Anolis sagrei: one gene and its partner. The protein of the gene in region 1 purifies or fractionates together with the protein of each later gene. This does not show direct contact. Links are inferred from orthologs where the notes say so. Each region holds a gene or a part of one and is shown on either strand. Other genes may lie near its edges.

Evidence for each region.
Region 2: the proteins of SLC9A6 (region 1) and MBLAC2 purify together in Homo sapiens (co-immunoprecipitation; 3 studies listed by BioGRID and IntAct, counting the BioPlex papers as one, with this or other methods). This does not show direct contact. The link is inferred for Anolis sagrei from reciprocal best matches to the Homo sapiens genes SLC9A6 and MBLAC2.

What each region holds. Positions count from the first base shown.
Region 1 is NC_090030.1:24,586,832-24,603,099, forward strand, and holds the start of SLC9A6 (sodium/hydrogen exchanger 6), read left to right. Parts: upstream 1-8,913; 5' UTR 8,914-8,975; coding exon 8,976-9,276; intron 9,277-16,268. Other genes in the region: MMGT1 (ER membrane protein complex subunit 5), read right to left, coding at 1,707-1,759, 3,186-3,309. UniProt on the Homo sapiens protein: Endosomal Na(+), K(+)/H(+) antiporter. Mediates the electroneutral exchange of endosomal luminal H(+) for a cytosolic Na(+) or K(+).
Region 2 is NC_090022.1:256,253,024-256,269,438, forward strand, and holds the start of MBLAC2 (acyl-coenzyme A thioesterase MBLAC2), read left to right. Parts: upstream 1-8,315; 5' UTR 8,316-8,378; coding exon 8,379-8,868; intron 8,869-16,415. UniProt on the Homo sapiens protein: Acyl-CoA thioesterases are a group of enzymes that catalyze the hydrolysis of acyl-CoAs to the free fatty acid and coenzyme A (CoASH), providing the potential to regulate intracellular levels of acyl-CoAs, free fatty acids and CoASH.

The DNA of each region.
Region 1 (16,268 bases):
CCTCCTGAGAAAAATGTATAATATCACAAAGGACTACCACCTCACCCGCCTCATAGGAAACCTGCTACAAAACAGGAGCTTTTTTGTTGAGTTCCAAAGCCAGAGAAGCAGATGGCGGAAACAGAAGAATGGCCTGCCTCAGGGGAACGTGCTTGCTCCATCCATGTTCAACATCTACACAAATGACCAGCCACTGCCAGAAGGGACAGAGAGCTTCATCTATGCTGATGATCATGCCATTACTGCTCAAGCAGGGGGCTTTGAGATGGTAGAACAGAAGCTCTCAGAAGCTCTAGGTGCTCTTACTGCCTATTACAGGGGAAACCAGCTGATCCTTAACCCATCTAAAACACAGATATGTGCTTTTCATCTCAAGAACAGACAAGCATCCTGAGCTCTGAGGATCATGTGGGAAGGAATCCACAGGAGCATTGCAGCACACCCAAATACCTGGGAGTCACCCTGGACCGTGCTCTTACCTACAAGAAGCACTGCCTGAATATCAAGCAAAAAAGTGGGTGCTAGAAACAATATCATACGAAAGCTAACTGGCATAACCTGGGGATCACAACCAGACACAGTGAAGACATCTGCCCTCTGCTGCCGAATATGCATGCCTAGTGTGGAACACATCTCACCACGCTAAAACAGTGGATGTAGCTCTTAATGAGACATGCCGCATTATCACGGGGTGTCTGCGCCCTACACCACTGGAGAAACTACACTGTTTAGCCGGTATTGCACCACCTGACATCCACCGGGAAGTAGCAATAGTGAAAGGACCAAGGCAGTGACATCTCCAGCTCATCCCTTGTTTGGGTATCAGCCAGCACGTCAACGACTTAAATCAAGAAATAGTTTTCTAAGATCTACAGAGACACTCGCTGGAACACCCCAGCAAGCAAGAGTCCAAAAATGGCAGGCTCAAACCCAGAACCTCAATCAATGGCTGATACCAAATGAGAGACTCCCCTCTGGGCACTCAGAAGACTGGGCGACTTGGAAGGCGCTGAACAGACTGCGCTCTGGCACCATGAGATGCAGAGCCAACCTCAAGAAATGGGGCTACAAAATGGAATCCTCGGCATGTGAGTGTGGAGAAGAGCAAACCACTGACCACCTGCTGCAATGCAACCTGAGCCCCGCCACATGCACAATGGAGGACCTCCTTGCAGCAACACCAGAGGCACTCCAAGTGGCCAACTACTCGTCAAAGGACATTTAATCAACTACCAAGCTTGCAAACTTTGTGTTTTGTCTGTTTGTTAAAAATGTAATACAATTGTCTGGTTGATACTGACACGATAAATAAATAAATAAATAAATTTCAGACATAAGTTGACCCTGAGCGAGGGCCGGGTAAATGACCTTGGAGGGCCGTATCTGGCCCCCGGGCCTTAGTTTGAGGACCCCTGTATTATAGTCTCAAGAACAGCGCGAGGCACATCTATCTCATTAAGACTGGGAGTTTGTACATTCGAGTAAAGAAAGAATGAGGAGGTGCTGCACTTCAGATTCCATTTGTGGAAGCACAATAAAGCACAACAAAAAGTTACGCATTCAGACATATTGGCACAACCCAACACAACGGGCTCCAGTCAAATTAATCCTTGGGTTCTATTAGTTCAATGATTCCAGTGCATTCAAACCACTTTATACACAAATATGTCATCCTACGGATCACAGGCAAACTTCCTAAAACTTACATCTATTGGCAAGGTTTCATCTTCCTTTTCCGTTAGTCTCATATAGGAACGATCTGCAAAAGAAAGTTAATGGGGAATGAATTGGAGAGGAATATCACTATGTAACACATTATTTGTTCCTGGGTTATAAATGTCATATCCTAATTGGTACTATCATAAAAAATATATGGATATGAGTTGGAGAAGTCAACCTATATCTATATAAATAAAAATGTAATGTTCATTTGTGGGACTAACGGAACTCAAAAACCACTGGGGGAATACACCTAACAACCCAATGTATGTCCTTCACTCACAAAAAATGAGTTTGTCGTTTGGGAGTTGTAGTTGCTGGGGTTTATAGTTCACCTATAATCAAAGAGCATTCTGAACTCCACCAATGATGGAGTTGAACCAAAACTTGGCACATAGGACTCCCATGACCAACAGAAAACACTAGAAGGGTTTGGTGGGCACTGACCTTGAGTTTGGGAATTGTAGTTCACCTACATCTAGAGAGCACTGTGGACCCAAACAATGATGGATCTGGACCAAACTTGGCACAAGCACTCAATACACCCAAATGTGAACACAGATGGCATTTGGGGGAAATAGACCTTGCCATTTGGGAATTGTAGTCACTGGGATTCACAGTTCACATACAATCAAAGAGCATTCTGAACCCCACGAATGACAGAAATGGGGCAAACTTCCCACACAGAACCCCCATGACCAACAGAAAATACTTAAGGCCATCCAATCCAACTCCATCAGGGCAAGAAAACATAATTAAAGCCCTCCTGACAAAGAGTCATCCAGTCATAAAGATAGATAGATAGATATGATTCACACACACTCACAGATATAGTATCATAGATTTGAAAGGGAACCCTAAAGGACAATGATATGTTGCATATTCCAGGGTGGGCAAACCAGACAATCTCCATATCAACACTGACAAAGTAACAGCAAGAAATACTGTTTACCCACAAGCATCAAGACATTACATATATTAGAAACCAACACTTTCTCATTACTTTATATTCCAGATCACCAGACTGGGCCACAGCAAAGCGTGGCAGGGGGCGGCTAGTATTCATATAAATATAAACATTGTTCATATAAATAGAAGTATTATGCTTACATAAAATTGAATTTATATTGGATTGTTCCTATTCTGAATGCCAGTACTATTCATCACGAAGATGGCAGGCCTTAATTCACAAATTATCACCTAAAGTGGCCCCGAAAGAGGCATTCCTAGCCTATATCCCAAGTGGAACTGCTTTGCTTCAATGCTAATGTTAGTCTGAGAGTTGTAGTTCTTCCTGCCTCGTCAAAGCGGCCTGCAAAAGCAATAAGGCCAAGAAAGCCCCGAAAAGTCCCTTCTCGGCACCCGTAGCCAAGGAAGTGAAGGCCTGAAGCCTGCCTAGATTTTTCTGTCAAGTGGCTGAGGGAGAAAGCGGCGAATAGAGGGGAAGGGGTTGGCCCGGGACTCACGCTGGGCGGCGGAGAAGGCCGCGTGTGCCAAGGCGAAGAGCCCGACCCCGACGAGCCCTTTCCACAGCGAGGCCGCCGCCATCGTCCGCCCTCCCTCCAGCAGCCAAGGATCCCGACCGCGCATGCGCACGCGGAGGCAAAGGGAAAGGGGGAAATGCGTGCTGACGCAAAAGGGGGCGGAGCCTCTTCTCGCCTTCGCTCGGCCCGCTGAGACGATACGACGCCAAGGCGCCTGCGCGGAAGCTGGGAAAAGAGGGAGGAGCTTAACAGGTAACAGACAGGAATGGGCGTGGCTTCTCTTAAAGGAGACAGAACCTGACATCACTTTGTTTACTTGCTCACTCCTGTTTTGAAAGCCAGATACCATTATGTTGATTTTTCAAAGCGTTAGCTTATTGATATGTTAATAGATTTATTGATTTGTAATATTTGTTAATAGATTTGTTGATTTGTAATATTACACTAATATTAATATTGTAATATTACAATAATATTATTAATATTGTAATATTTCTAACAATATTATTAATATTATTAGTAAATTACAATATTAATATTATTAATATTGGAGCCCCCGGTGGCGCAGTAGGTTAAATCCCTGTGCCAGCAGGACTGAAGACCAACAGGTCACAGGTTCGAATCCGGGGAGAGGCGGATGAGCTCCCTCTATCAGCTCCAGCTCCTCATGCGGGGACATGAGAGAAGCCTCCAACAAGGGTGATAAAACATCAAAATCATCCGGGCGTCCCCTGGGCAACGTCCCTGCAGACGGCCAATTCTCTCACAACAGGATGCTCCTGACACGACAAAAAATATTATTATTATTATTATTATTATTATTACTAATATTATTAATATTGTAATATTACTAATAATATTATTAATATTATTAATAATATTGTAATATTACTAATAATATTGCATTCTAATGGTATTGTACAATATAATATATAATCCTAATATTGTACTATGCTAATAATATAATATATAATAGAAACATATAATATTAATAATATTATAATATAATAGAATATAATAATACAATATACTAATAATAATAGTAATAATAATAATAATAAACTTTATTTATACTCCGCAACCATCTCCCGAGGGACTTGGTGCGGCTTACATGAGGCTGAGACCACACTGCATCAATGATAAAAGCAATAACAACAATTAATACAGACAATAAAACAAAAACTCATAACAAAAAAAAAACAATAAACAATAGCAGTAACACAACGATGTTAAAAACCTATGGCAGAGCCAAATGTAATAATTAAAATTTAAGAATAATATTATTAATTAATTATTAATATTAATGTATAAATATAAAATGTTAGAAAATGTTAGAATTAAGCTAGGAAAAATATGGCACCAAAATGGAGTTGGTCGGTTAACTCGCGGATATGGTGGCCCGAGTGGTTTCCGTATCCGCGGTTTAAAGAAACGCAGATTCAGCCTCCCTGCGATGCCTGGAAGGCATCCCAGGCGGGCCCGCCGCTGCCCACGGCCCAAAAAAGGATAAGTTCATGCATTTGATACTTGTGAGTCAGGAAATAGACACAGTGTATCACTTTGGAGAGGTGAACGTTACAATTCAATTAGTCTTTATTAGGGGTTTTGTTACAATGTTTGGGCTGGGGAGAAAAGCAAAAGGAGAAAGCTCAAGGTTGCAGAGAATCCTTGGTTGAGGCTGCTGCTGGGGCACATTTCATCAGAGCTGGCATCCAGGAACTGCGGAACTCCCTGCAGCTGGTCAGATCAGCTGGAAAGCAGGGGTTTGGGGCGGATTCGACATCAAAGCTACCCACAATTATAAACATGGAATGTAGACAGTGTTTCCAAGGCAGGGGATGATTGATCATCATGTTAATTGAAAACAAGTATAAGAATTGAAACTCATAATAAAAATGGGGAAATACTGAAAAATGGGTGTTGGATCGATTTTACTAAAGCGCTGCAATGGAGATAAATTGCAAAATGTAGCCTTGATCAAGTCGGGTGCCTTTTACCAATGGAAAGAAGACAGAACTGACAACAACAACAATAATACATCACACAGTCCTAGACACTTGGGAAGTGTTCGACTTGTGATTTAGTGATACGAAATCCAGCATATATATCTAATTTGCTGTGCCATACTATGTTTTTCTGTCAGTAATAATAATAATAATAATAATTCTACACTGTAGAAAGAATGTCGTTTGACACCTCTTTAACTGCCTTTATGGAAACCTGGGATCTGTAGTTTGGTGAAGGACCAAAGTGAAAGATCTTGTAAAACTGCAGCTCTCCAGCTTTCTTAGCATTGATGGCTAAAGTGGTGTCAAACTGCATAAATTCCACAGTTCAGATGCACCCAGATAATTGCTTTGAAGGCATTTGTCCTCTTGGCAAAAAACAAACTAACTAAACAAAAAAAAAAACCCCAAAAACCCATGCATTTCTTCCTTTCTTCTGAAGGAGGAAAATATTACTCTGTGGTGGAAAAACAAGCCCTGCATTGTGCCATAATCTATGCCTTGTCACACTCCTCTCATTCTAAACAAAGCTACCTACCATTTCTTGCAGTGGGTTTCGAACTGCTTTCTGTGCAGAGGGTTCAATGGCAAACCAAAGGAATGTTACTGAAACTTAGATTAACATCTATAAATCAAATTAAGAGCAAACCTTACTTTCAAAGCAACAGTGGCAGAATGTTGTTGAAGGCTTTCACGGCTGCAATGACTGGGTTGCTGTGAGTTTTCCGGGCTGTATGGCCATGTTCCAGAATCATTAGAATCATAGAGTGCGAAGAGACCTCATGGGCCATCCAGTTCAACCCCATTCGGCCAAGAAGCAGGAAAATCGTATTCAAAACACACCCTACAGATGGCCATCCAGCCTCTGTTTAAAAGTCTCAAAAGTAGGAGCCTCTACCACACTCTGGGGCAGAGAGTTCCACTGCTGAACAGCTCTCACAGTTAGGAAGTTCTTCCTAATGTTCAGATGGAATCTCTTTTATTGCAGTTTGAAGCCATTGTTCCGCATCCTAGTCTCCACGGAAGCAGAAAACAAGCTTGCTCCCCCATCCCTATGACTTCCTCTCACATACTTATACATAGCTATCAGGTCTCCTGACATTTCACCCACATCTATGGCAGGCATCCTCAGAGGATATGAGGTCAGTTGGAAACTAGGCAAGTGAGGTTTATATACCTGGGGAATGTCCATGTTGGGAGAAAGAACTCTTGTCTGTTTGAGGCCAGTGCAAATGTTGCAATTTGCCAACTCGGTTAGCATTGTATAGCCTTGCAGCTTCAAAGCCTAGTGGCTTCCTGCCTGGGGGAACCAGGACAGTAAATAAAGAGCAACATTAAAAAAGCAGGGAATTCCAGACAGGAAACAATCAGGGCCAGCTAACACCTTCTAACAAAGGGTTCCCCCAAGCAGCAATCAGTCAGGCTTTGATGCTGCAAGGCCATTCAATCAAGGTGGCAATTCAATGCTAATCAAGGTATGCAACATTCACACCTGCCTCCAACAGACAAGAGTTCTTTCTCCCACCCTGGATATTCATACACACACACACACACACATCCCACTTGCCTAATTTCCAACAGATCTCTCAATCTCTGAGGATGCCTGCCATAGATGTGGGAGAAATGTATGTCAGGAGAGAATGCTTCTGGAACATGGCCAGATAGCCCGGAAAACTCTCAACGACCCAGTAGCAGAGAGAGCAAGTGACTTCCAAATAGTCCAATAGTCCTGACAGCTTTTACCAGAAGCAGAAAATCCCTTAAAGAGCCCCATTTCGGGAAATAAACTCAATTGATATTCGATGTATTTTGGGTCTGGAGACTGCAAAGGCCTTTGCAATGAATAGGGTTTAATTCAAAGGTTTCAAGCTGCAGTCTTAAGGGTCAAAATAGGCTCATGCAAATCCTTAGCTGCTGGGTAAATTGCACTGTTTAGTCTGTTTCAGGAAAACTCTACAAAATCCAGCCTCATAAAACCAAGATCGTAACATGAACTTTGGAATATGTCTCCAGGCCAACAGCACTGCTTCTTCTCTCTGTGTGTGTTTTAGTAAACATCTACCCTTCAAAGCCTTAATAACAATAACAATAAACAACCCGGAATCCAAAATGCATCTGTTCCCAAACATTCTGGACAAGTGCTATTCGGTGTACCTATGTAAAAGGTTTCAAAACATGTAAACACCCAACACAATCCCAAACACTTTGGGTGCCAAGCATTTCGAAAATGGGGTGCTTGTTCCGTATATGCAAGTATTGTAAAACATTTAAACATCCAGAGGAATCCCAAACACTTCTGGTGCCAAGCATTTTGATCAAGCTGTTCTTGTTTTGGAATGTAAGTCCCCAAACTGGTGCTTTTCCTGCATGAAGTCAGAATGGGGCTAGACTGGGTGGCCTTTGAGGGTCCCTCCCATCTCTAGGATCCTATAGCCCTATTATTTCTCTCCATCTAATTAAATGTCTATGAGGCTGGATGGCCATCTGTCAGGGGTGCGTCGATTGTGTTTTTCCTTCATGAAGGCAGAAGGGATGGTACTTGGGGTACTCTTTCAACTCTAGCATCCTATAGCCCTATTATTTCTCTCCATCTCGGATTCTCTAGCCCTGTTACTTCTCTCCATCTAATCTAATGTCTATGATGCTGGGTGGTCATTTGTCGGGGTGCTATGACGGAGTTTTCCCTGCATGGATGCGGGGGGGGGGGGGGGGTTTGAACTGGATGGCCTTTGTGGTCCATTTTAAGTCTAGGATCCCATAGGACTATTATTTCTCTCCGTCTAGGATTCTCTAGACCTGTCATCATTCCCCATCTAATCTTATATTTGTGATGCTGGCTGGCCACCTGTCGGGGATGCTTTGATGGTGCTTTCCCTACATGGAGGCAGAAGGGGGTTGGGCTGGATGGCCTTTGGGAGTCCCCTTTAACCCTAGGATCCTGTGGCCTTATTATTTCTCTCCATCTAATCTAATGCCTGTGAGGCTGGATGGCCATCTGTTGGGTGGGCTTGGATGGTGCTTGGCAGAAGGGGGTTGGGCTGGGTGGCCTTTGGGGGTCCCCTTTAACTCTAGCATCCTGTGGCCTTATTATTTCTCTCCATCTCATCTAATGCCTGCGAGGCTGGATGGCCACCTGTCAGGGGTGCTTTGATGGTGCTTTCCCTGCATGGAGGCAGAAGGGGGTTGGACTGGATGGCCTTTGGGGTCCCCTTTAACTCTAGGATCCTGTGGCCTTATTACTTCTCTCCATCTAATCTAATGCCTGTGAGGCTGGATGGCCACCTGTCAGGGGTGCTTTGATGGTGCTTTCCCTGCATAGAGGCAGAAGGGGGTTGGGCTGGATGGCCTTTGGGGGTCCCCTTTAACTCTAGCATCCTGTGGCCTTATTATTTCTCTCCATCTCATCTAATGCCTGTGAGGCTGGATGGCCATCTGTTGGGAGGGCTTGGATGGTGCTTGGCAGAAGGGGGTTGGGCTGGATGGCCTTTGGGGGTCCCCTTTAACTCTAGCATCCTGTGGCCTTATTATTTCTCTCCATCTCATCTAACGCCTGTGAGGCTGGATGGCCATCTGTTGGGTGGGCTTGGATGGTGCTTGGCAGAAGGGGGTTGGGCTGGATGGCCTTTGGGGGTCCCTTCCAACCCTGGGAGAGCTTGCTTCCCTTCTCCCCAGCCTCGAGGAGGAGGAGGAAGTGGAGGAAGAGGAGGAGCCAGGAGGAGGAGGAGGCGCAGCAGCCATCGCTGTATCCAGAGCCCGAGCCCTAGCCATGGCCTTGCTTTGGGGCCAGGGTCCTGCCGCCCCCCGGAGGGCTCCCCCTTTGGCGACGGGGCTGCCCCTGCTGGAGCTGCTGCTGCTCTTGGGGGTCTGCGGGGGGTCCGGCTCGGGCCCGCCGGTGGCCCTGGAGGAGGAGATCGTGTCGGAGAAGGCGGCCGAGGCCAGCCACCGGCAGGACAGCGCCAACCTGCTCATCTTCATCCTCCTCCTCACCCTCACCATCCTCACCATCTGGCTCTTCAAGCACCGACGCGCACGCTTCCTCCACGAGACGGGCCTCGCCATGATCTACGGTGGGTCCAAAGGGGCGTGGGGGTATCTGTATCTCTGTGGGGAAGGCTCCAGTCGGGGAGGGACCCCTCCAGACCCAGAAGGACCCTCCCACCACCTTGCAGAGGCCTTCTCCAAAACCTCAACAAGGGGTTGGGAGTCTAATACTAATACTAATAATACTTGGTCCAGATCTGTCATCAGCTCGATTCAGTGTTCTCTGGATAAGGGTGAACTACAACTCCTATCACCTTGCAGAGGCCTTCTCCAAAAGCTCTGGGCACCAACAAGGGGTTGGGAGTCTTATACTACTACTACTACTACTACTACTAATACTTGGTGCAGATCTATTATCAGCTGGGTTCAGTGTTCTCTGGATACTGGTAAGCTAGTCTCCCATCACCTTGCAGAGGCCTTCTCCAAAAGCTCTGGGCACCAACAACAGGTTGGGAGTCTAATACTAATACTAATACCACTAATAATAAGATCTGTCATCAGCTGGGTTGAGTGTTCTCTGGATAAGGGTGAACTACCCTCCCATCACCTTGCAGAGGCCTTCTCCAAAAGCTCTGGGCACCCACAAGGGGTTGGGAGTCTTATACTAATACTAATACTAAGAATACTTGGTCCAGATCTCTTATCAGCTGGATTCAGTGTTCTCTGGATAAGGGTGAACTACCCTCCCATCGCCTTCTCCAAAAGCTCTGGGCATCAACAAGGGGTTGGGAGTCTTATACTAATACGAATACTACTTGGTCCAGATCTGTTATCAGCTGGGTTCAGTGTTCTCTGGACAAGGGTGAACTACAACTCCCATCACCTTGCAGAGGCCTTCTCCAAAAGCTTTGGGCACCAACAAGGGTTTGGGAGTCTAATACTAATACTAATACTACTAATAATAATACTTGGTCCAGATCTGTTATCAGCTTGGTTGAGTGTTCTCTGGACAAGGGTGAACTACAACTCCCAGATTACTACAACTTCCTTCCTGTTGAATCAGTCCCCCCAACCCCCCCCCCCCAGTCTGAGTCCTCCCTAGGGGTTGGGAGTCTTATACTACTACTACTACTACTAATAATAATAATAATACTTGGTCCAGATTTGTTATCAGCTGGGTTCAGTGTTCTCTGGATAAGGGTGAACTACCCTCCCATCACCTTGCAGAGGCCTTCTCCAAAAGCTCTGGGCACCAACAACAGGTTGGGAGTCTAATACTAATACTACTAATAATAAGATCTGTCATCAGCTGGGTTGAGTGTTCTCTGGATAAGGGTGAACTACTAATACTACTTGGTCCAGATCTGTTATCAGCTCGGTTGAGTGTTCTCTGCATAAGGGTGAACTATCCTCCCATCACCTTGCAGAGGCCTTCTCCAAAAGCTCTGGGCACCAACAAAGGGTTGGGAGTCTTATACTACTACTACTATTACTACTACTACTACTAATAATAATACTTTGTCCAGATCTGTTATCAGCTGGGTTCAGTGTTCTCTGGATAAGGGTGAGCTTTGGTTACATCCCGTTTAGATTACTGCTACGCTCTCTACGTGGGGTTGCCTTTGAAGACTGCCTGGAAGCTCCAATTAGTCCAATGTGTGGCAGCCAGTTTGCTAACAAGAGTGGGGTACAGGGAGCATACTACTCCTCTGTTGCGCCAGCTCCACTGGCTGCCAGTTAGCTTCCGAGCACTATTCAAAGTGCTGGTGTTAACCTATAAAGCCCTAAACGAATCTGGCCCAGTTTACCTGTCCGAACGTATTCTCCCCTATGAACCATCAAAATTGCTAAGACGTCTGGAGGGGCCCACCGGCCTCACAATCGCGTCTGGTGGGGACGAGGGACAGGGCCTTCTCGGTGGTGGCCCCTCAACTCTGGAACTCCCTTTCACTGGAGATCGGAATGGCCCCCTCTATCTTGAAGTTCAGAAAACCCCATGATAAGGTTAATGTGATGGGTAATATCTTTGATGATTTTGTAAACAAAGCTTGTTTACATTGAAGCATAAGGTTGCTATAGGATTCCAAACCGTTGTGTGCCATTTATTAATCACCTTTGGGGACATCTTTGCTCAGCAGTGTCTTGATGGTTTACTCCTTTCATCTTCAGGGAGCAATGCTACAAAACGGAGAAGAGGAAGGAAGGAAGGAATAGAATAGAACAGAATAAGGATGCCTTTACCAGCCATTATCTGGTACCCACAGCATATTTGGTATAGTGGTGTTCAGAAATAGATAATAATAATAATAATAATAATAATAATAATAATTATTATTATTATTATTATTTATAGCCCGCTACCATCTCCCCAAGGGACTCGGTGCGGCTTACATGAGGCCGAGCCCACAACACATCAATAATAAAACAATAGCAAACAAACAGTACAAAACAGTTAAAATACATCTCATAAACAAAAGTAAAATAAAATATAAGCAGTACAGCAACACAACAAGCATTTAAAACCTATGGCTGGGCCAAATGTAAAATTCAAATTTAAAAAATAATGCTGGGCATGAGCAAGGTAGGATATAGCTGCGCCCGTACCTTGGGAAGTCTGACTTGGCCACAGTAGTCCACGCTCTGGTTACATCCCGTTTAGACTACTGCAACGCTCTCTACGTGGGGTTGCCTTTGAAGACGGCTCGGAAGCTCCAACTAGTCCAGCGCTCGGCAGCCATGATTTTAACAGGAGTGGAGCGCAGGGAGCATACAACCCCCCTGTTGCGCCAACTCCACTGGCTACCGATCTGCTACTGGGCTGAATTCAAAGTGCTGGTGTTGGCCTTTAAAGCCCTAAACGGTTCCAGCCCAAGCTACCAATCCGACCGCATCTCTGCCTATGAACCCACCAGGACTTTGAGATCGTCCGGGGAGACCCTGCTCTCGATCCCGCCTGCTTCTCAAGCACGGCTGGCGGGGACAAGAGATAGGGCCTTTTCGGTGGTGGCTCCTCGGCTGTGGAACGCCCTTCCTACGGACATTAGACTAGCACCATCTCTAATGGTATTCCGCAAAAAAGTGAAGAGCAGGCGTTCAAATAATTAGTGCAATGATTGGTTAATGAACACTGGAATGGAACAATGGATGACGAATCTGGGTCATGTTTTTGATGATGAGTCGATAATGAATGGTTATTGTAGTAATTGTTTATTAATTGTGTAATGTGTTAGGTTGTTAACTGTTTTTATACTGTTGCTTTGAATTTTTGCTGTTTCTATTGTTGTGAACCGCTGTGAGTCGCCTTCGGGCTGAGAACAGCGGTATATAAGTAAGGTAAATAATAATAATAATAATAATAATAATAATAATAATAATAATAATAACTGGGATGGATATTTTCGCAGGGGACAAGGCATGCAAATCAATCAATCCTAAATGAATAATAAAGTGCATTTTGAGGGTATATTGCTGAGAAATCCATTATTCTGGAAAGGCACGTTTTCAGGCTCCTCCTAAAAATTGCCAGAGTTGGGGCATCCCCGATGTCCTTGGGAAATGAGTTCCAGAGTCGAGGGGCCACCACCGAAAAAGCCCTCTCCCTCGTCCCCACCAATCATGCCTGCGATGGAGGTGGGAGCGTGAGCAAGGCCTCTCCAGATGATCGAAGAGATCATGTGGGTTCATACACAGAGATGTGATCACGTAGGTAGGCAGGTCCCAAACCGTTCAGGGCTTTGAAGGTAAGAACCTGCACCTTGAATTGATCTAACACCTTTGGATGTTAAATATGTTTCCTGGGTGAAGAAGACAGTGAAACTCTGAAAGCCAAAAAGTGGAAAACAATGGAAGTACCTTCCATCTATAAAGGGATTGGCAACTAAAATAGAAGAGTAATAATAATAATAATAATTATTATTATTATTATTATTTATCATGTCATCAGCAACCATACCATTGTATAACAGAGCAAAAAAACCCACACAGATTAAAAAGAAAAAGAAAAAAAAACACACACACAGATTTTGCAAACTTGGTAGTTGGTTAAATGTCCTTTGACCAGTATCTGGCCACTTGGAGTGCCTCTGGGGTTGCCACAAGAAGGTCCTCCATTGTGCATGTGGCGGGGCTCAGGGTGCATTGCAACAGGTGGTCAGTGGTTTGTTCTTCTCCGCACTCGCATGCCGAGGATTCCACCCTGTAGCCCCATTTCTTAAGATTCGCTCTGCATCTCGTGGTGCCAGAGCGCAGTCTGTTCAGCGCCTTCCAAGTCGCCCAGTCTTCTGTGTGCCCAGGAGGGAGTCTCTCATCTGGTATCACCCATGGATTGAGGTGCTGGGTTTGGGCCTGCCACTTTTGGACTCTCGCTTGCTGGGGTGTTCCAGCGAGTGTCTCTGTAGATCGAAGAAAACTATGTCTTGATTTAAGTCGTTGACGTGCTGGCTGATACCCAAACAGGGGATGAGCTGGAGATGTCTCTGCCTTGGTCCTTTCACTATTGGCTGCTACTTCCCGGCGGATGTCAGGTGGTGCAATACCGGCTAAGCAGTGTAATTTCTCCAGTGGTGTGGGGCGCAGACACCCTGTGATAATGTGGCATGTCTTATTAAGCACCACATCTACTATTTTAGTGTGGTGAGATGTGTTCCACACTGGGCATGCATACTCAGCAGCAGAGTAGCCTAGCGCAAGGGCAAATGTCTTCACTGTGTCTGGTTGTGATCCCCAGGTTGTGCCAGTCAGCTTTCGTATGATGTTGTTTCTAGCGCCCACTTTTTGCTTGATGTTCAGGCAGTGCTTCTTGTAGGTCAGAGAACGGTCCAAAGTGACTCCCAGGTATTTGGGTGTGTTGCAATGCTCCAGTGGGATCCCTTCCCAGGTGATAATCCTCAGAGCTCGGGATGCTTGTCTGTTCTTAAGGTGAAAGGCGCATGTCTGTGTTTTAGATGGATTAGGGATCAGTTGGTTTTCCCTGTAATAGGCAGTAAGAGCATAATTCTATCATTAAAACATGGGGAAAGTTTATGAAACTGCAAAAACTTTGATCTTGCAGAAGGGACATCCTGCAGCACATTTTGTGATAGTTTTTCAATGAATATCATCATTGAGTCTCAACCCATTCTGTATTGTTACGTATCGGTTCCCCTCCTGCGTCTTTAGTAAATAGGAAATTCACAGGAATGCCTCTCCTTCCTCTCCAGTTTCCTGAGTAGGTACTCGCTTCTTCTTGAAGAAAGCATTGCAAGAATAGAATTGAGAAATCTGAGAAAGCCGGTTGCTCAATTGGAAGGAGGCTAAAAGCAGCACGAAATGGAGATTTCCATTGAAACTGGGTCTCAAGACATCTTAGAGCAGTGTTTCTCAACTTGGGGGTCGGGACCGCTGAGGGGATCGTGAGGGGGTGTCAGAGGGGTCGCCAAAGACCATAAGAAAACACAGTATTTTCTGATAGTCATGGGGATTTCATGTAGGAAGTTTGAGCCAATTCTATCGTTGGTGGAGTTCAGAATGTTCTTTGATTGTAATGAACTATAAATCCCAGCAACTCCCAAATGTCAAGATCTATTTTCCCCAGACTCCACCAATGTTCACATTTGGGCACATTGAGTATTCATGCCAATTTTGGTACAGATCCACTGTTGCATGAGTCCACAGTGCTCTCTGGATATAGGTGAACTACAACTCCTAAACTCAAGGTCAATTCCCATCAAACCCTTCCAGTGTTTTCCATTGGTCATGGGAGCCAAGTTTGGTTCAAATCCATCGCTGGTGGAGTTCAGAATGCTCTTTGATTATAAGTGAACTATAAATCCCAGCAACTACAACTCCCAAATTACAAAATCAATCCTTGCCCAACCCCACTAGCGTTCACATTTGGGTGTATTGGGTATTTGTGCCCAGTTTGGTCCAGTGAATGAAAATTCATCCTGCATATCAGATATTTACATTATGATTTATAACAGTAGTAAGATGACTGTTATGATGTAGCAATGAAAACAATTTTATGGTTGGGGGTCAACACAACATGAGGATCTGTATTAAGGGGTCGCGGCATTAGGAAGGTTGAGAACCATTGTCTTAGAGTTCCAACCGACTGGAAACTTCAAGGCACACAACAACAACAACAACAATTTTCTTTTGATCCATGAAAATTGTCCATCCAGCCGAAAATGTAATCCACAAAGTGCTGTGTCTGTGGTGCCATGACAAATGTCTTAATCTACATCAGTGTTTCTCAACCTTCCGAATACCACGACCCCTCAATACAGTTCCTCATGTTGTGGTGATCACCAACCACAAGATTGTTTCCATTGCTACTTCATAACTGTAATTTTGCTACCGTTAGTAATCGTCATGTAAATATCTGATATGCAGGATGTATTTTCATTCACTGGACGAAATTTGGCACAAATACCCGATATGCCCAAATTTGAGGCTGAGGAGGGATTGATTTTGTCATTTGGGAGTTGTAGTTGCTGGGATTTATAGTTCAGCTACAATCAGTAAGTCCTTCGACAGGGTCCCCCATATTTATTTATTATGTCAGGAGCAACCAGACATTTGTATTACATTTTTAACAAAACAAACAAACAAACAGACAAAACACAAAGTTTGCAAGCTTGGTAGTTGATTAAATGTCCTTTGACCAGATGCTGTCCACTTGGAGTGCCTCTGGGGTTGCCGCAAGAAGGTCCTCCATTGTGCATGTAGCAGAGCTCTGGTTGCATTGCAGCAGGTGGTCAGTGGTTTGCTCTTCTCCACACTCGCATGTTGTGGATTCCACTTTGTGGCCCCATTTCTGAAGGTTGGCTCTGCATCTCGTGGTGCCAGAGCGCAGTCTGTTCAGCGCCTTCCAAGTCGTCCAGTCCTCTGTGTGCCCAGGGGGGAGTCTCTCATTTGGTATCAGCCATTGGTTGAGGTTCTGAGTTTTAGCCTGCCACTTTTGGACTCTCGCTTGCTGAGGTGTTCCAGCGAGTGTCTCTGTAGATATTATTTTTTATTTATTTATTTATTATTATTATTATTATTATTATTTGAAACACAACAAGATGAGTCCACAGCAGACAAGATCACTTTGCTG
Region 2 (16,415 bases), on another chromosome or scaffold:
ATCATCTTTGTTCTTTTCTTTGTGCTTTTCCTCCTCATCCGATTTTTCTTCATCTCCTTTTTTCCAACTCCTGTTAAAGATTAACAACAAGTCTGCCACATCCTTTGAACTTCCAGTTGAAAGCAGGAGTTGGAGGAGTGGGAGAGTCAGCACTTCAAATGTCATAAACAATTGAAGTTATTAAAATAATGGTTGGAGAATGTCTTCTATCACTAGTGAAGGACTCCTGCCTTTTGAGATCAATGTGTATCTTTCTTTCTAGCCTTCGTTTTTTTTAACTGTAAAAGCTGATAACATTTCTTCAGGGCTTAAGGAAACCATAACTTCCCATTTGGGGGGGGGGGGGGTCTGTGGACCACAGGTTAAGAACTGCTGCCATAATGTATCTGTGAAAAGGTTGTTTTGCATCATAGAACTTTTAAAACAAATTGAAAGTAAAAATCCCTCAAAGCCCTAATGCAGAGACAAGATATCATTACAAATAATCCTCAATATGGAGGTACATTAACCAGGAAACCAAAAGAGTTCTGTACTCTGAGAACTCATTTTTAAGGCCACTCTAGAAAAGCCCTATATTGTTTTGCACTCATGTCTCTTATAAAATAAAATCATTCCACACAGCCCTCAAGTCATTCTCTAATTTTACTCCAAAATGTTTTATAATTATTAATCTTTCCACCTATTTTCACCATTAAGTCATATTGTCAATATGACATATAGAACCCACCATACCTCTATCTTATTCAGTACATCTGCATTATCTTTTGGTTCTGTTTTTGGAATTTGGGGCTTTTTGCTTGTTACAGTAAAAAAAAAAAAAAAAAACCCTAACCCTGCATTGTTCCAGATTCATATAAACAGGACCATAAAAATGGCACTGCTTCATATTTAGTAAAGCAGGGAGACTTGAAAACAATATAAATTAAATTATTATGTGGAAACCACTAAGCAACAATACAGAAAATCTGTATCTGCTTTTATTGCACTATATTCCTTTGAGTACATCTGTATCACAAAAACAAGATGGTTGTATGAATGTGTATTTAATGGGATGGAGGGCTTTTAAAGAGGCTATGAGCATACTGCATTATTTAACTGATTGCTTCCCTAAGGTCACTACCATCAGTTACTTCAGAACTACAGATGAACCATTTCCAAAAGCAAGGTTTTGAAATGCTAATATTTAAAAGAAATCTTGCTAAGGCAAGAAAACTTCATTTTTTCCCCTTTTCCCTCTACCACTCAACATTCAGTCATCACTTTCACAGAAAAACTAAAATAAAAGTTATATTGGGCAATATTACTCAAAATAACAGTTATCAGTCCCACTTTTCTCCCAAAAACAAATATTATGAACCCTAAGAGATAAGGTTTCGGCTGCTTCATGTGCATGTTACATTTTTCCCTCTTGCTTTCAAGCCGTCTTGGGGATTTTCTCCAATCTTTGCAAAATGAAATTTTTAATTATTTTTGATAGCAGTCTATCTTATGTAGAGGAACCAAACATATTTTGATCAGTGCATTCATTAACACTGATTTTTCACACTATCTCAGTATAGTCCAATATCTGAAGGATTTCATTTTACCTACCCCTGGGCTTGTTCTTGACTGTACAAATCTCTAGAACCTGGCCACATTTATGTGCCTCTTTGCTGTAATAAAACTATTACACACATGGATCTTGGAGCTTAGTTTTATACTGCAGTGTACCTTTTAAAAAAACTTTCATGTTTCTTCTATTTCATTTTCTGAAAGTCTTCACAGCATACATATCCTGTCATGACAGGGGAACAGGGGACTAAAGGACAAAAAATGCTATGACATATTTAATTAACATCAAAGGATAGAAGGAAAGAACTTGGTTTCACTTTGTGCTAGAAGCCTAGCTTTGTATTTGATTATCCAAAGCAGTATGAATTAAGTTAACACATAGAACTGTTCTAATATCATGTAAACCAAGCTGCAATGTTGGACACATTTACATGGGAACAAGTTGTATTCAACACACTTGGCTTTAATTTTTTTTAAAAAACCTATACAGGTTGGGTATTCCTTATCCAGAATTCCAAAATACTCCACAATCCAAAATTATCCCCATGGGTGGGTGAGATAATGATACTTTTGCTCTTTAATGTTGCAATGTACATAAACTTCCATACACAAAATTATTTAAAATATTTGTATAAAATCACCTGCAGGTATGTGGATATGAAATATGAATGAATGTCATATTTAGACTTGGGTCCCATCTCCAAAAGTTCTCATTATTCTAAAATCTGGGGGGAAAAGGAACACTTCTAGTCCCAAACATTTCACGTAAGAGCTACTCAACTTGTATAAGATTGCATGCCTGGGTGTGCCAGGAGCTTAAATTGTGAGCCCAACATTTGCCTTGCATGCACCTGAAAATGCACCAGCTCCTACTGTACCAAACTATAATTACTTTATGCGCTAGAGCACACTACCATTACAGAAGATTTTGACTACTCTGCAGAAATTTGTTCCATTCTAGTGTTAAACGTAACAATAGACAATAGACTGTCAGTGTATACCAGATGCTGTAGGCTACTTTTCAGAGGAAGTATTAGCAAAACCACCTCTTAAGTATTTCTTGCCTGAGGAATTCATGAGGTTGCCATAAAGTAACAAGTGATTTAAAAGTGCATACAAAAACAGATGGAACCAAAGCTTAGAAAGTTATTGCTTGAAAGTATGAGTTACAGTTATAAGTACAAGACCTGAAAAATAATGTCTTATTATCATAGTTCCATAGTTCCAAAATAATTGAAATAACTGTTCTCAATTCCTTTTTAAAAGCACCAGAAAGATACAGGATACTAGTTTGTAGTAAAACACACCCAAGCAATTGGCCATGCCCCATAGGACTGTAAAGGTAACAAAGCAGTTACACTGTAAAAAGAATAAAGGTACTGTATTTGCTGTTAGAAAATATATTTGTATTATACTAAAAAGAAAGGTGCAGACCTGAAGCTCTTGACTGAAAAGTGGAGCAGTGGCAATGGCCTGTACCTGCTTTGCAGTTGCTTTACATATTGCTGTTTCTGGGTTTTAGCTCTTTTTCATTTGCTCTGTAGTGGTACAAACAGTAGCCTATGTTTCAGAGGAAGGCAATACCAAAATGTCTTGCCTGTGAAAGGGCCTATGCAATGTGTGGTGTTGCTATAAGTTGGCACATATCTTAACGACAAAAACATATATACACCCTTAACTTTCCCACTATTTCCAGTTGACAAAAAAGTGGAGTGCTTCATCCTAATGGAGGTACTTACTTTAGACACTGCTTCAGGTAATGTTTCACATCTAGCAAAACCAGTCGCTTCCTTGACTCAACTCAGCCATTTTGGATAACTAGAGGAAAAACAGCTTTCATTCAATCTCTCTTCAACTACTCTGTCAGATTACACTGAGAAGCCATTGAAATCCACAAGCACATGGACAATTTCAACTGATAGGAAGAAAACATGAAAATGAACACTTGGCTACCAGTATTGAGAAACACCAGAATCAAGAGAGCAACTAATGAACACCACCCAGACACAGGAGATCTCCAGGCAGCAAGCAATCAAGGGCTAGTGAGCTACCATCCAGACAAAGGATGCCTCTAGGCAATAAACACTTCAAGGGAACAAAGTCCTGATTATTTCTAGGCAGATCTCCTCAGTTACTCACATGCTAATGGATGGATCCCACTCAAAGCACTTCCAAATCAAGCTTGCTAATTGCACCCTTCACACAATAGGCATTGGTTCTTTTTCTCACCCTGGACATTCCACGGGTATATATACACTTGCTTCACCACCATCAGATCCTCTGAAGATGCCAGCCACAGATGCAGGTGAAATGTCATGAAGAAATGCTGTTAGAACACAGCCATACAGCCCAGAAACAATACAGCACCCCAGCAGTTCTGGCCATTAAAACCTTTGACACTAAATGACATATTCAATTTTTGCAGTATTTCAGATCCTACAAAACATACCCCTGGTTGTAAATTCTGAACGATACTAGTTAGGATAAGTGGGCCACTCAATCACTGCATTCACACCACATCTTAAGTGGCTCAATCCAGGTCTAGGCTGCTCTCTTTGTTTAGCAATTTTTAGAATTGGAGTTTTCAGTAGTTTCTGTTGCAACATTGAGGATGGGGATATACTATTTAGCACACTACTGTATGATTTATTAGCAAAGGATTAAAAGGATCAAAGAAACAATTACATTATTACATTTTGTTCAGTATTTATATTATGCCTTGACATTCACAATGCTCAACAAAGTAATTCCAAAAGGCTCAAACCCTGATCCTGATTGACATTCTTTGAGTTATTTTAAATCCTGCTTGAACTTATTTGGAACTGACAAGTTCCTGACATAAAATATTTGGAGGATTGACACACAGACCTATGGATTTGCATTCAGAAGCCCCACTGCACTCTATAAAGGCATGCTCTCTAGGAAACACTGGGAGCATTTGCAGAAAATGGCATTAAGGGATTGTTACTGAGCTTTATAACATTTGGATGATGGCATCCATGCATTCCCTTGAACAGCTATGTGAAGCCATATAAAGTTATATGAAGCCAGGCCCGTAGCCAGGATTTTGATTCGGGGGAAGCTGAGTTTGATTTGGGGGCGGGGGGAGGCTGAGTCTGAGTGAAAGAGGGTCTACCCTAGCAAACCTTTTGTATCATTACCCCAATACCCCCATGCATATGGGATATATTGAGCATGGTGATCAGATCATGATATGAATAAACATAACAGTTTAAATAATTTACCAGTAAGGCCTTCTCACGGACCACCATGAGAATTTCGGGGGGGGGGGGGGGCTGAAGCCCCTCAAGCTCCCCCCCCCCCCCCCCCCGGCTACATGCCTGTATGAAGCAAAATAATCTGAGGAACTGGAAAACTGATTCCACCTAAGCATTAGGAAGACCTTCATGGTAAATAACTACTGGGGATACATTTATGACCAGATTGCAGCTACGTGAAACTACAGAGATGACTGAACACTATTACATTACTGTGGAGTTGTGCTGGAGGACCTATCTCCTCTAGGAATTTGCTAGGTCTTCCAACACAACTCTATGGAAGCATTTGTTGCTAAAAATCAGGAAAAAAAACTTGGAGGCAAACAACAACAAGTAGTCAATTACAAGCAAGCTGTTTTACTATTTGAAGCTGTGCAGTAAAACCTAGTATACCCCAGAGGAATTGTGTATATTTTTATTCCTGTGCATCAAGTCTGGCAGGTGGTGGGACGCAACTGACATACATCTATGTGAATATGTTTTTATTGATTTTATCATGGGTTTATAATATTTTAATTGTTTTTTTATTGTATTCTTATGCTTTGATGTTGACTCTAAACCACCCTGAGTCGCCTGCGGGCTGAAAAGGATGGTATATAAATGTAGTAAAATAAATAAATAAATCTTTAGACTGTTCTGTCAAGGCATAACATTCCCAGAGTTGAAGCTCCCACATGCATATACATATTCCAAGAATATACAGGGTTGCCCAAAAGTCACAAAGTTGTTTCAATATTTAAGAAAACATGTTTTTAACTAACAATACTATATAGCATCATACAAAGTATATATAAGAAATAAATGTACATTATGCGCGAAAAACAAATTTCGTAAATAGTCTCTCATACCATAGGATCATACACAGTCTTAAGGGCCCTTCCAGACAGTACCTATATCCCAGGATCTAATTCCAGATTTTCCGCTTTAAACTGGATTATATGAGTCCGCACTGCCAGATAATTTGGGATCAACAGAAAACTTGGGATCAGATCCTGGGATATTGGCCCTCTTTGTGACTTTTTTCCTAACGGGAAGGTGGGGCATAAATAGAGTAAATAATAGAAAAGTATGGAAGAGCATCTCTGCACCAGCTAACGTGTCTCTGCACCTAACATGTGTCTTCGGATCTTCCCCAAAGTCCCATTCTCTTTGCCTTCCTTATCAAAATTATGTAACAACTGTGTTATATAATTATGGAGGCAGCATTATTGATGTCTAATGTACGATTTTTCAGTGGCAGAGTAAAATGGCTCTTTCAGTCAGCATTTGCAAAATAAATTTTTTATTGGCTCCCTGTTGTTTTGGCTGCGGGGTGTTAGCCTTACTTATTGTATAGCATTAGGTTTTAAGTAATGAATTATTTATCCAGTACACCATCCTAATACTTCACATGAAGGGTAGCATACTCTCTCTCTCTCTATGAAACACTTATTTTCAATTATATATAAATATAAGGAGGTTTGCTTTCAGGACCCCCATGGATACCAAATCTACAGCTGCTCAAGTTTCCCCTTGAGATTAAGTGTAGTCGTGTCTGACTCTGGAGGGTGGTACTCATCTTCATTTCTAAGCCAAAGAGCCCGTGTTGTCCGTAGACACCTCTAAGGTCATGTAGCTGGCATGACTGCATGGAGCACTGTTACCTTCCCACAGAAGCGGTATCTATTTATCTATTCACACTTGCATGTTTTTGAATTGCTAGATTGGCAGAAGCTGGGGTTAATAGCGGGAGCTCACCCTGCTTCCCAGATTTGAATTGCCTATCTTTCGGTCAGCAAGTTCATCAGCTTAGCAGTTAAACCAGCAATATGTCCCCAAACGCACTTTATTAGTGATCTAGGTTTGTCTGCACATCTCATCTCTCTCCAAAACATTTACCCTAGTTATATGTCACCTTGTCATGCCCAGCATTATTTTAAAAAATTAATTATTACATTTGGCCCAGCCATAGGTTTTAAAATGCGTTGTGTTATTGTTAATCTTTATTGCATATTTTCTGCTTATGAGTTTATTTATTGTTTTGTATTACTGTTGCTATTGTTTATTGTTGTATTGTGGGTTCGGCCTCATGTAAGCTGCACCGAGTCCCTTGGGGAAATGGTAGCGGGGTACAAATAAAGTTTTATTATTATTATTATTAAACCCGCTGCACCACCACATGTCTTGCATATTTTTGTTGTTCATTCGTTCAGTCATCTCCGACTCTTCGTGACCTCATGGACCAGCCCACGCCAGAGCTCCCTGTCGGCCGTCACCACCCCCAGCTCCTTCAAGGTCAGTCCAGTCACTTCAAGGATGCCATCCATCCATCCATCTTGCCCTTGGTTGGCCCCTCTTCCTTTTGCCTTCCACTTTCCCCAGCATCATTGTCTTCTCTAGGCTTTCCTGTCTCCTCATGATGTGGCCAAAGTACTTCCACTTTGTCTCGAGTATCCTTCCCTCCAGTGAGCAGCCTGGCTTTATTTCCTGGAGGATGGACTGGTTGGATCCAAGGCACTCTCAGAACTTTCCAACACCACAGCTTAAAAGCATCTATATTCTTCCGTTCAGCCTTCCTTATGGTCCAGCTCTCACATCCGTAGGTGACTACAGGGAATACCATGGCTTGGACTAGGCGGATCTTTGTTGCCAGTGTGATGTCTCTACTCTTCACTATTTTATCGAGACTGGACATTGCTCTCCTCCCAAGAAGTAAGCGTCTTCTGATTTCCTGGCCACAGTCTGCATCTGCAGTAATCTTTGCACCTAGAAATACAAAGTCTGTCACAGTCTCCACATTTTCTCCCTCTATTTCCCAGTTGTCAATCATTCTTGTTGCCATAATCTTGGTTTGTTTGATGTTTAGCTGCAACCCAGCTTTTGCGCTTTCTTCTTTCACCTTGATTAGAAGGCTCCTCAGCTTGCATATTTACATGCAGCCTAATAGCCTGTTAGGAATTGTGGGAGATGGAAGTCCAAAACACCCGGAGGGCCGAAGTTTGCCCATGCCTGAGCTACACTGCCCAATTAGAAACAGGTTAATACCACTTTAACTGCCATCGCTCAGTGCTATGGAATACTGAGAGCCTTCGTTTGGTGAGGCCTGAAGGTCTGGAGGCTTCCCTGCCAAAGAGTGCTGGTGCCTCCCAGGGTTGCACAGCATTGAGCCAAAGCAGTTAAATTACCGGCTGTTAGGAATTGTGGGAGTTGAAGTCCAAAACACCCGGAGGGCCGACGTTTGCCCATGCCTGCAGCTGCAGCAGTAATTTACACAGTCTGGAGCCTTCCCTGCCAAAGAGTGCTGTTTCCAGGATACACTGTTTCCAGGATTCCAGAGCATACAGCCAGGGGAAGTTAAAGCGGTATGAACATGCATTAATACTCCAGTGTAGCGCCCTCCCCTCTCTCGCAGCCGGGCTACCGCAGTGGGCAGGGCCGGGGGCGGAGACGGGTGTCTCGGGAGCGCGCCTGGCAGCATCCCCGCCCCCTTCTCGACTCCTCCTCCTCCTCCTCCTTCCCTCGCTTCCCGTAGCCGGGCTTTGGGAGCTTGTCTGGGCGGCGGCGGCGGCGATGTCGGCGCTGGAGTGGTTCGCGCACAAATCCCTGGGCGGCGGCATCTTCTGGATCCAGGAGCGCTTCTACGAGTCCGGGAACCGGGCTAACATCTGGCTGGTGCGAGGCTCGCAGCGGGACGTGGTCATCGACACCGGGCTGGGGCTGCGGAGCCTGCCGGATTACCTCCGCTTGGCGGGGCTCTTGGGGCCCGGAGCCCCCGAGGAGAAGGGGGCGGAATCCGCGCCGCCGGCGGGAGAACCCCTTGCGGGACAGCGCCCCCTGCTGGCCGTGGCCACGCACGTGCACTTCGACCACGCGGGCGGGCTGCACCAGTTCCCGGAGGTGGCCGTGCACAGCGCCGAGGCCCCGGCCCTCCGCCGCGGGGACAACTACGAGGCCGTGACCTGGCTCTCCGACGGCGAGGTGGTGCGGCAGCCCAGCCCCGGGTGGAGCGCCAGGCACTTCCGGGTCCGCCCCGTCCAGCCCACCCACGTCCTGCAGGAAGGTGAATCCGCCCCCCTTCCCTCCTCCCCGAGCTTCTCCCCCAGACCCTTCCCTGGACCCTCCTCCCTCTGTTAGCAATCAGCAGAGCATTTGGCATGCCTAGAGCGAGTGTTGTCTAAACTAGAGGTGTTTCCCAAACTGTAGAGCAGGCTGTTAGGAATTGGCCGCCCTGAGCCCTCTTGTGGGGAGAAGGGCGGGATAGAAATGTATGTAATAATAATTATTACATGTAATAATAATAATAATAATAATAATGTAATAATAATAATAATAATGTAATAATAATAATAATACACCGGAGCCCCCGGTGGCGCAGTGGGTTAAAGCACTGAGCTGCTTAGCTTGTTGATCGAAAGGTCGCAGGTTCGATTCCGGAGAGCGGCGTGAGCTTCCGCTGTCAGCCCTAGCTTCTGCCAACCTAGCAGTTCGAAAACATGCAAATGTGAGTAGATCAATAGGTACCGCTCCGGCGGGAAGGTAACAGTGCTCCATGCAGTCATGCCGGCCACATGACCTTGGAGGTGTCTACGGACAACGCGGGCTCTTCGGCTTAGAAATGGAGATGAGCACCACACCCTAGAGTCAGACATGACTGGACTTAATGTCAGGGGACTACCTTTACCTAATAATAATAATAATAATAATAATAATAATAATTGTTATTGTGGAAGTTGAAGTCCAAAATACCTGGAGGGCCCAAGTTTGTCCATGCCTTCTCTATAGTCTTCCAGGTCAGAAGCAAATTGAGAAGACAGTAATCTTCTGTATAAATAAATATGTAATGTTCGGTTTGTGGGATTAATATGTAATAGTATGAAAGCTGGATCCAGAAGCGCTGAACATAACGCTGTTTGCGCAACGCAGACCAGAACACAGATATTATAGAAGGAATGTAAGAGGTTTTTTTAAATGGTAAAACCCTTATTTATTTATTTATTTATTTGGTAGTTTTGTATACCGGTCTTCTCACCTCCATTCAAGGGACTCGGGCCGGTTTCCAACATCAATATTACAGACCGTCATTAAAACATCATATTTCTAAATCACACTAAAACATTAAAACATTGAAACAATTAAAATGGCAAAAAATACAATCATATGATTACAGTGGTCAGTCATCATCAAAGTCATTATTCATCGTCATCCATCCATATCAAAGGATCATGGCTCATTCGTTGAATGCCAATCCCCAAAGCCAGGTTTTCACGTTTCCTGAACATTAAGATCGAACGGGCAGTTCTGATCTCCAGTGGAAGGGAGTTCCAGAGTTCCTTACCTGAACCCTTAACCCTAACCCTGACCCAAACCCTAAACCTGACTACTAAACCTAATCCTAACCCTTACCCTACCCCTAACATTAAACCTTATCCTAACCCTCCCCTCCTTTCTATCTTTCCATCAAATGCAACTACAGAGTATATATTCCCGCCCTCAGTGTGCTGCTCTCTTCTTCCCTGATTCACAACCGCCGTTGCAGAATGTGCATAACGCTCAGAGCTTCTGGACCCAGCTATCATACTAGCATTGATTAACATAACTCAAAAACCACTTGACGAACTGACACCAAATTTGGACATAATACATATATCAGGCCAAGGAGTGATCATCACTCATAAAAACACTGAAAAACACAGTGGAAGAGACTTAAAAAGTAAAAAAAAAATTACAATGCATGCACAAAATCACTAATAATAGTAATAATAAATTTTATTTATACCCCGCCACTATCTCCCCAAAGGGGACTCGGAGCGGCTTACATGAGGCCAAGCCAAGCGATACATTGCAGCAACATAAAATATAAACAATAAAATAGCATCACAATAAAATAAACCAATCAAGTAAAATAAACAGTACAAAATAACATAATGGAAAACAAAACATAGTGGGTGGGCCAAATGCACAGCATAAAATGATAAAACTCTGGATGAGATAGCAATGAAAAGGTACATTTGTGGGGGAGGAGCTTGTAGGAGACTGAATTAGACTTTCAAAAAGGTGGGGGAAAGTGCAATATGAGGTAAACTGTGTAGGTGAAACAACAGGACTGGAATATATGGTGATTCTCCAAAGGTACATCAGAAATATATATACACACACATACACAACACATATACACAGACTGGGCCACAGCAACGTGTGGCAGGGGACAACTAGTCTATATAAATAAAAATGTAATGTTTGTGGGATTAACATAACTCAAAAACCACTGGATGAATTGACACCAAATTTGGACACAATACACCTATCAGGTCAGCAAGTGACCATCACTCATAAAAACACTGAAAAACACAGCGGAAGAGACTTAAAAAGCCAAAAAACAAAAAATACATAACAACACATGCACAAAACCACATATATACGCACACATATATACACAAATATACACACACACATATACACATACACAGACTGGGCCACAGCAACATGTGGCAGGGGACGGTTAGTAATGTATAAAAAACCACAAAGTTAAAAATTTGGCATATATTTCCTTTGACAAAGTGCTGCTGGTGTTGCTGTAAGGGCTCAGACCACATGGTAGTAAGTGGTCTGTGGTTTGCTCTTCTCAGCACTTGCATGTCATGGACTCCACTTTGAAGCCCTGTTTCTTGAGATTGGCGCCACATCTCGTGATAACAGAGCGCAGTCTGTTCAACGCCTTCCAAGTCACCTAAGAGTGCTCAGAAGGGAGTTTCTTTATCTGGTATCAGCCACGGATCGAGGTTCCGGGTTTTAACCGGGAGAAATTATACTATTTAGTTGGTATTGCATTACATGACATCCGCTGGGAAGTAGCAGCCAATAATGAAAGGACCAAGGCATTGATATCTCCGGCCCATCCTCTCTTCAGATATCAGACAACGCCTTAAATCAATAAACAGTTTTCTAAGATCTACGGAGATACTCGCAGGAAAGCTTCATCAAGCAAAAGTGGCAGGTTAAGTGTCCAAAAGTGGCAGGATCAACAACCCATGGCTAATAAGAGTCCAAAAGTGGCAGGATCAACATCCCATGGCTAATACTGAATGAGAGACTCCCTCCTGGGCACACAGAAGACTGAACAACTTGGAAGACGCTGAACAGACTGCACTTTGGCACCACGAGATGCAAAGCCAACCTTAAGAAATGGGACCACAAAGTGGAGTCCACGACATGCGAGTGTGGAGAACAGCAAACCACAGACCATCTCTTACAGTGCAGTCTGAGCCCTGCCACATGCACAATGGAGGATCTTCTTATAGCAACACCAGACAGAAGCACTCCAAGTGGCCAGCTTTTGGTCATAGGACATTTAGTATAATGCCAAGTTTTTAAAACTTTGTGCTTTTTAAATACATTGCAGCTGTATCCTCGGTTCTCTTCTGATACGTTAAAAAAAAGCCTGCCATTTTTGGACTGTCGCTCGCTTGCTGAGGTGTTCCTGTGACTATAAACGCAGATCTTAGGAAGCTGTTTCTTGATTTAAGTCATTGGATGATATCTGAACAGAAGATGCCTTGGTCTTTTCATTGCTGGCTGCTACTTCCAGGCGGCTATCAGGTCGTGCAATACCAATTAAACCCTCCAGATGTTTTGGATTTCAGCCGGTAAGCTGTTAGGAATTGTGGGAGTTGAAGTCCAAAACACCTGGAGTTCCGAAGTTTGCCCTTGCCCGGGCTAAACAGTATAATTTCTCCAACAGTGTTGGGCGTAGATATCCTGTGATAATGCGGCATCGAGCCATAGCAATTAAAGTGGTGTAAAACTGTGTTCATTCTATTATTATTATTATTATTATTATTATTAACTTTATTTGTACCCCGCTAGCATCTCCCGGAGGACTCGATGCGGCTTACACAGGCCGAAGCCTCAAAACACAGTACAGTAAAACGTAACATCACAATAACAGCAAATCAAAACAATAAACAAAATAACATAACTCCACAATAACTAAGCAAATCAGATAATAAGCAAAATAACGACAATGACAGTACATCAAGACCTTATTAAAATTGGTTCGGCCGGCGCACTGGGGTACAAGGGTTAAAAGTGCTGAAATGGCAGGAGGCACGTAAGATTAAAAGTGCGGTGTGCAGCGACAATTAGTTATGCTAAAGTGCTACTAGGACTTGGGGTGGGGTTCCTAGTCTGGGAAGGCACAATGGAACAGCCAAGTTTTTAAATTCCTTCTGAAAACGGCCAGAGTGGGGGCCTGTCTGAGATCCTTTGGGAGGGCGTTCCAGAGTCGGGGGGCCGCCACAGAAAAGGCCCTGTCCCGTGTCCCCACCAAACGCACTTGTGACGTGGGTGGGATCACGAGCAGGGCCTCTCCTCTCCTCTATAGTGTAGATACATCTGTAGATAACTGGGACAGACATGCAGGCTGAAAAAATGAGGCTCACTTCAGAGGATTTAAATCCAGTGGAATTCTGGGCAGAGTAGTTCAGTGAAGTACTTTGTACTTTTCGTTGCTATAGATCTCTTGTGTCGCAGTTCAGGGAACTGCACTAGAGCCCTCTCAGAGAATCCCAGGTACATCAGCACTGAAATTAATGCAGTTTGACATCACTTTAACTACCATGGCTCATGCTGTAGGATCATGGAGATTGTAGTTTCCTCTGTCTAAGAGTGCCGGTGCCTCACCAAACTTCAACTCTAGTGATTTTAAAGCTGGTTTAATTCTCCAGTGTAGATGCGACTTAAGTTCAGTACTAGATGTGATTTGTGGACTTCAGCTCCCAGAATCTCTGATCTTTAGCCAAAGCAGCTGTGGCTTCTGGGAGTTGAAGTCTACAAAATCTGGAAAACTGCACTTTGGGAATCACTGTTGTAGAGCATGTTCCAGCAACGATTCATGGTGTGGAAGGGAAAGGGTGCAACCTCAGCTCATTACAAAACTTTCCCATAATTGCATTAAAAGGAATATGTGAAGTAGATATGTCTATGTAAGATGATTAACTTGCTCAGAGACAGGCATTTTACACTTATCAGTATATTTCACCAATACTACTATTTAGAAGAGTTAATCTGGTTTATTTATTTTGTATCAAAAGCATTGCATGAATTAGTATAAAACTGATAAAAATAGAAGGAGCACAAGCAGCAATATATCTTTTGTCCAAAAACGGGCAACAGCCACCGCATTGTCTATAGTTTCAATCAATTCTTCCTCTGTACATGAGGCAGGACATTGCGGACAAACATACAGATGCAGAGTTGTCTGTTCTGCTCCACAGTCACACAAGGTAGAGGATTCTTTTAGGTAATTCCTTTTTGGCAGGTTGTCTTTTGATCTGCCCACTCCACTTCTCAGTCTGTTCAGGGACTTCCAAGTTAGTTAATCATATACATTACAGTAATGTTTTGAGTCACGTGTAGAGGAAAACAACAACAATAATAGTACCTGCTTCATATATAGGTGGCACTGATGGGATCATGTGTGAGCCCCTACACTTTATGGATTTATAAATCCAAAGCCTTTATGTTGGAGTGGAGAGGGGGGGGGGTGTTGCTCTAAGATAGAAGAGCAGCAGGAATCAAAAGGGGAGTTTGAATGCGCTATCCATCTCTGAGATACATTTGTGGGGATGCATACAACATTCAATAGGGTCATACTGTGCAAGGGTCATACTGTACAATAATGCCCAACATTTCTTAGTGATATAGGACCCCTGATGGTGTGGTGGGTTAAACCATTGAGCTGCTGAACTTGCTGACTGAAAGGTTGGCTATTCGAATCTGGGGACAGGGGTGAGCTCCCACTGTTAGCCCCAGCTTCTGCCAACCCAGTAATTCGAAAACATGCAAATATGAGTAGATCAATAGGTACCACTTCTGCAGGAAGGCAATGGTTCTCCATGCAGTCATGCTGGCCACATAACCTAAGCTCTTGGGCTTAGAAATTGAGATGAGCACCATCACCCAGAGTCGGATATGACTAGACTTAATATCAAGGGAAACCTTTACTCTGCATATGACCCTTGTGTCGATGGTGCATAGGTTCCAAGATTTCTTGTGGATACTTAAAACTTTAGATGATAGCAAACCCTATATTTTGACTATACATGGACTGAGAGCATACAATAGAGTAGCATTGGATGACCCAGAAACACTTCCTGGAGGATGGGAATTTTTGGAGAGTAGATAAGTGAAACCGTGGATATTAAATCTGTGGATAATGGAGTGCATATTGTGCATTTCTACATGACAGCTCTTTTATGGGAAGAAGGGCAATGAATAGTAAACAATTCATTAAAAAAGAGGATCAATTCTGTTTTGCCAGGAGGTATTATTGCATAATGTGTTTTGAAAAAACAGAACAAACCCTCAATGACAAATGCAAGTGTGGCCACTGAATACTATATATAGCAATTGTCATGTATTGAGATTATATCATACTGGGATTTGGCATGTTGTTTTGAAGCAAAAGGGCTAGCCTAAGGCGCATTTACTCTCAGTTGATATGTACTGATTTTAATATTGGATTATTTATATTATTCTTTTGAAACAAATTGTTGGTAGAGAAAATACATACAAAAAGATAATTACCATCCAGAAACAATGTTCACTAGTAATATTTTGATATTTAAAGCAAAAGAAAGGAATAGAGCTTTTGGTTGAAAATATTTTTCCCCTGCAGAGTTAGCAGAGCTGAAATTTTTGTAGTACGAGTTGAAATTCAAAAGCACCAGCTAAGCACCTCCCAATTTCAGACAGATTTTGTCCTCTAGATTCTAAGCATATGACGTTTTATTCATAGTGATACCTGCTTTCCTCCTTGAAGTAAACAGTATACTATTTAAAAGGCTGACATGTTTTAAAGAGACAGCTACTAAATTAAAATAGGGCCTAGTTAAACCATCTTAAGGTATGTTAACATGCTTCAGCCCAAGCAGTACACAAAACAAGATGTGCATCTCCTCCAAGAACATCTGAACATGTTCTTCCTGGTAACCTCAGTGAAGAGCCAGACACAATAGGAAACATGATCCTTGCTTTAAAAAGAAAATTTTACTCTTAAATATACATCACCACTCCATCTTTGGTATCATCATCATCATCATCATTTTTAATTACTTATTAATCACCCTCCATCCAAGATGCTCTAGGCGATTTACATAGCAGAAATTATACAGGAAATTATACACATACATATAAATATTAATAAATTAACATGAGTCAAACACAGCCCCTTATATTGTCAAGGCCAACATCCCCACCCCCAAACATTGCCCATCTCGACATTTGCTGCTTTGTTCCTGTTGCTTCTTTACTAAGACTGGCAGAATGTTGACTCAGATCAATCAGTAGATCTTGAGAGGCTGGTGAACAACTCAAAGAAGTTCTAGACCAGTGGTTCTCAACCTGTGGGTCCCCAAGTGTTTTGACCTACAACTTCCATAAATCCCATCCAGTTTACCAGCTGTTAGGATTTCTGGGAATTGAAGGCCAAAACTTTTGGGGACCCACAGGTTGAGAACCACTGCTCTGGACCTTAAGGATCGGTGGAATGACAGGAGGCTGTAGCAAGGTATGCCTACACAATAGTGTAGTGTGCTCAATGTGCAGCAA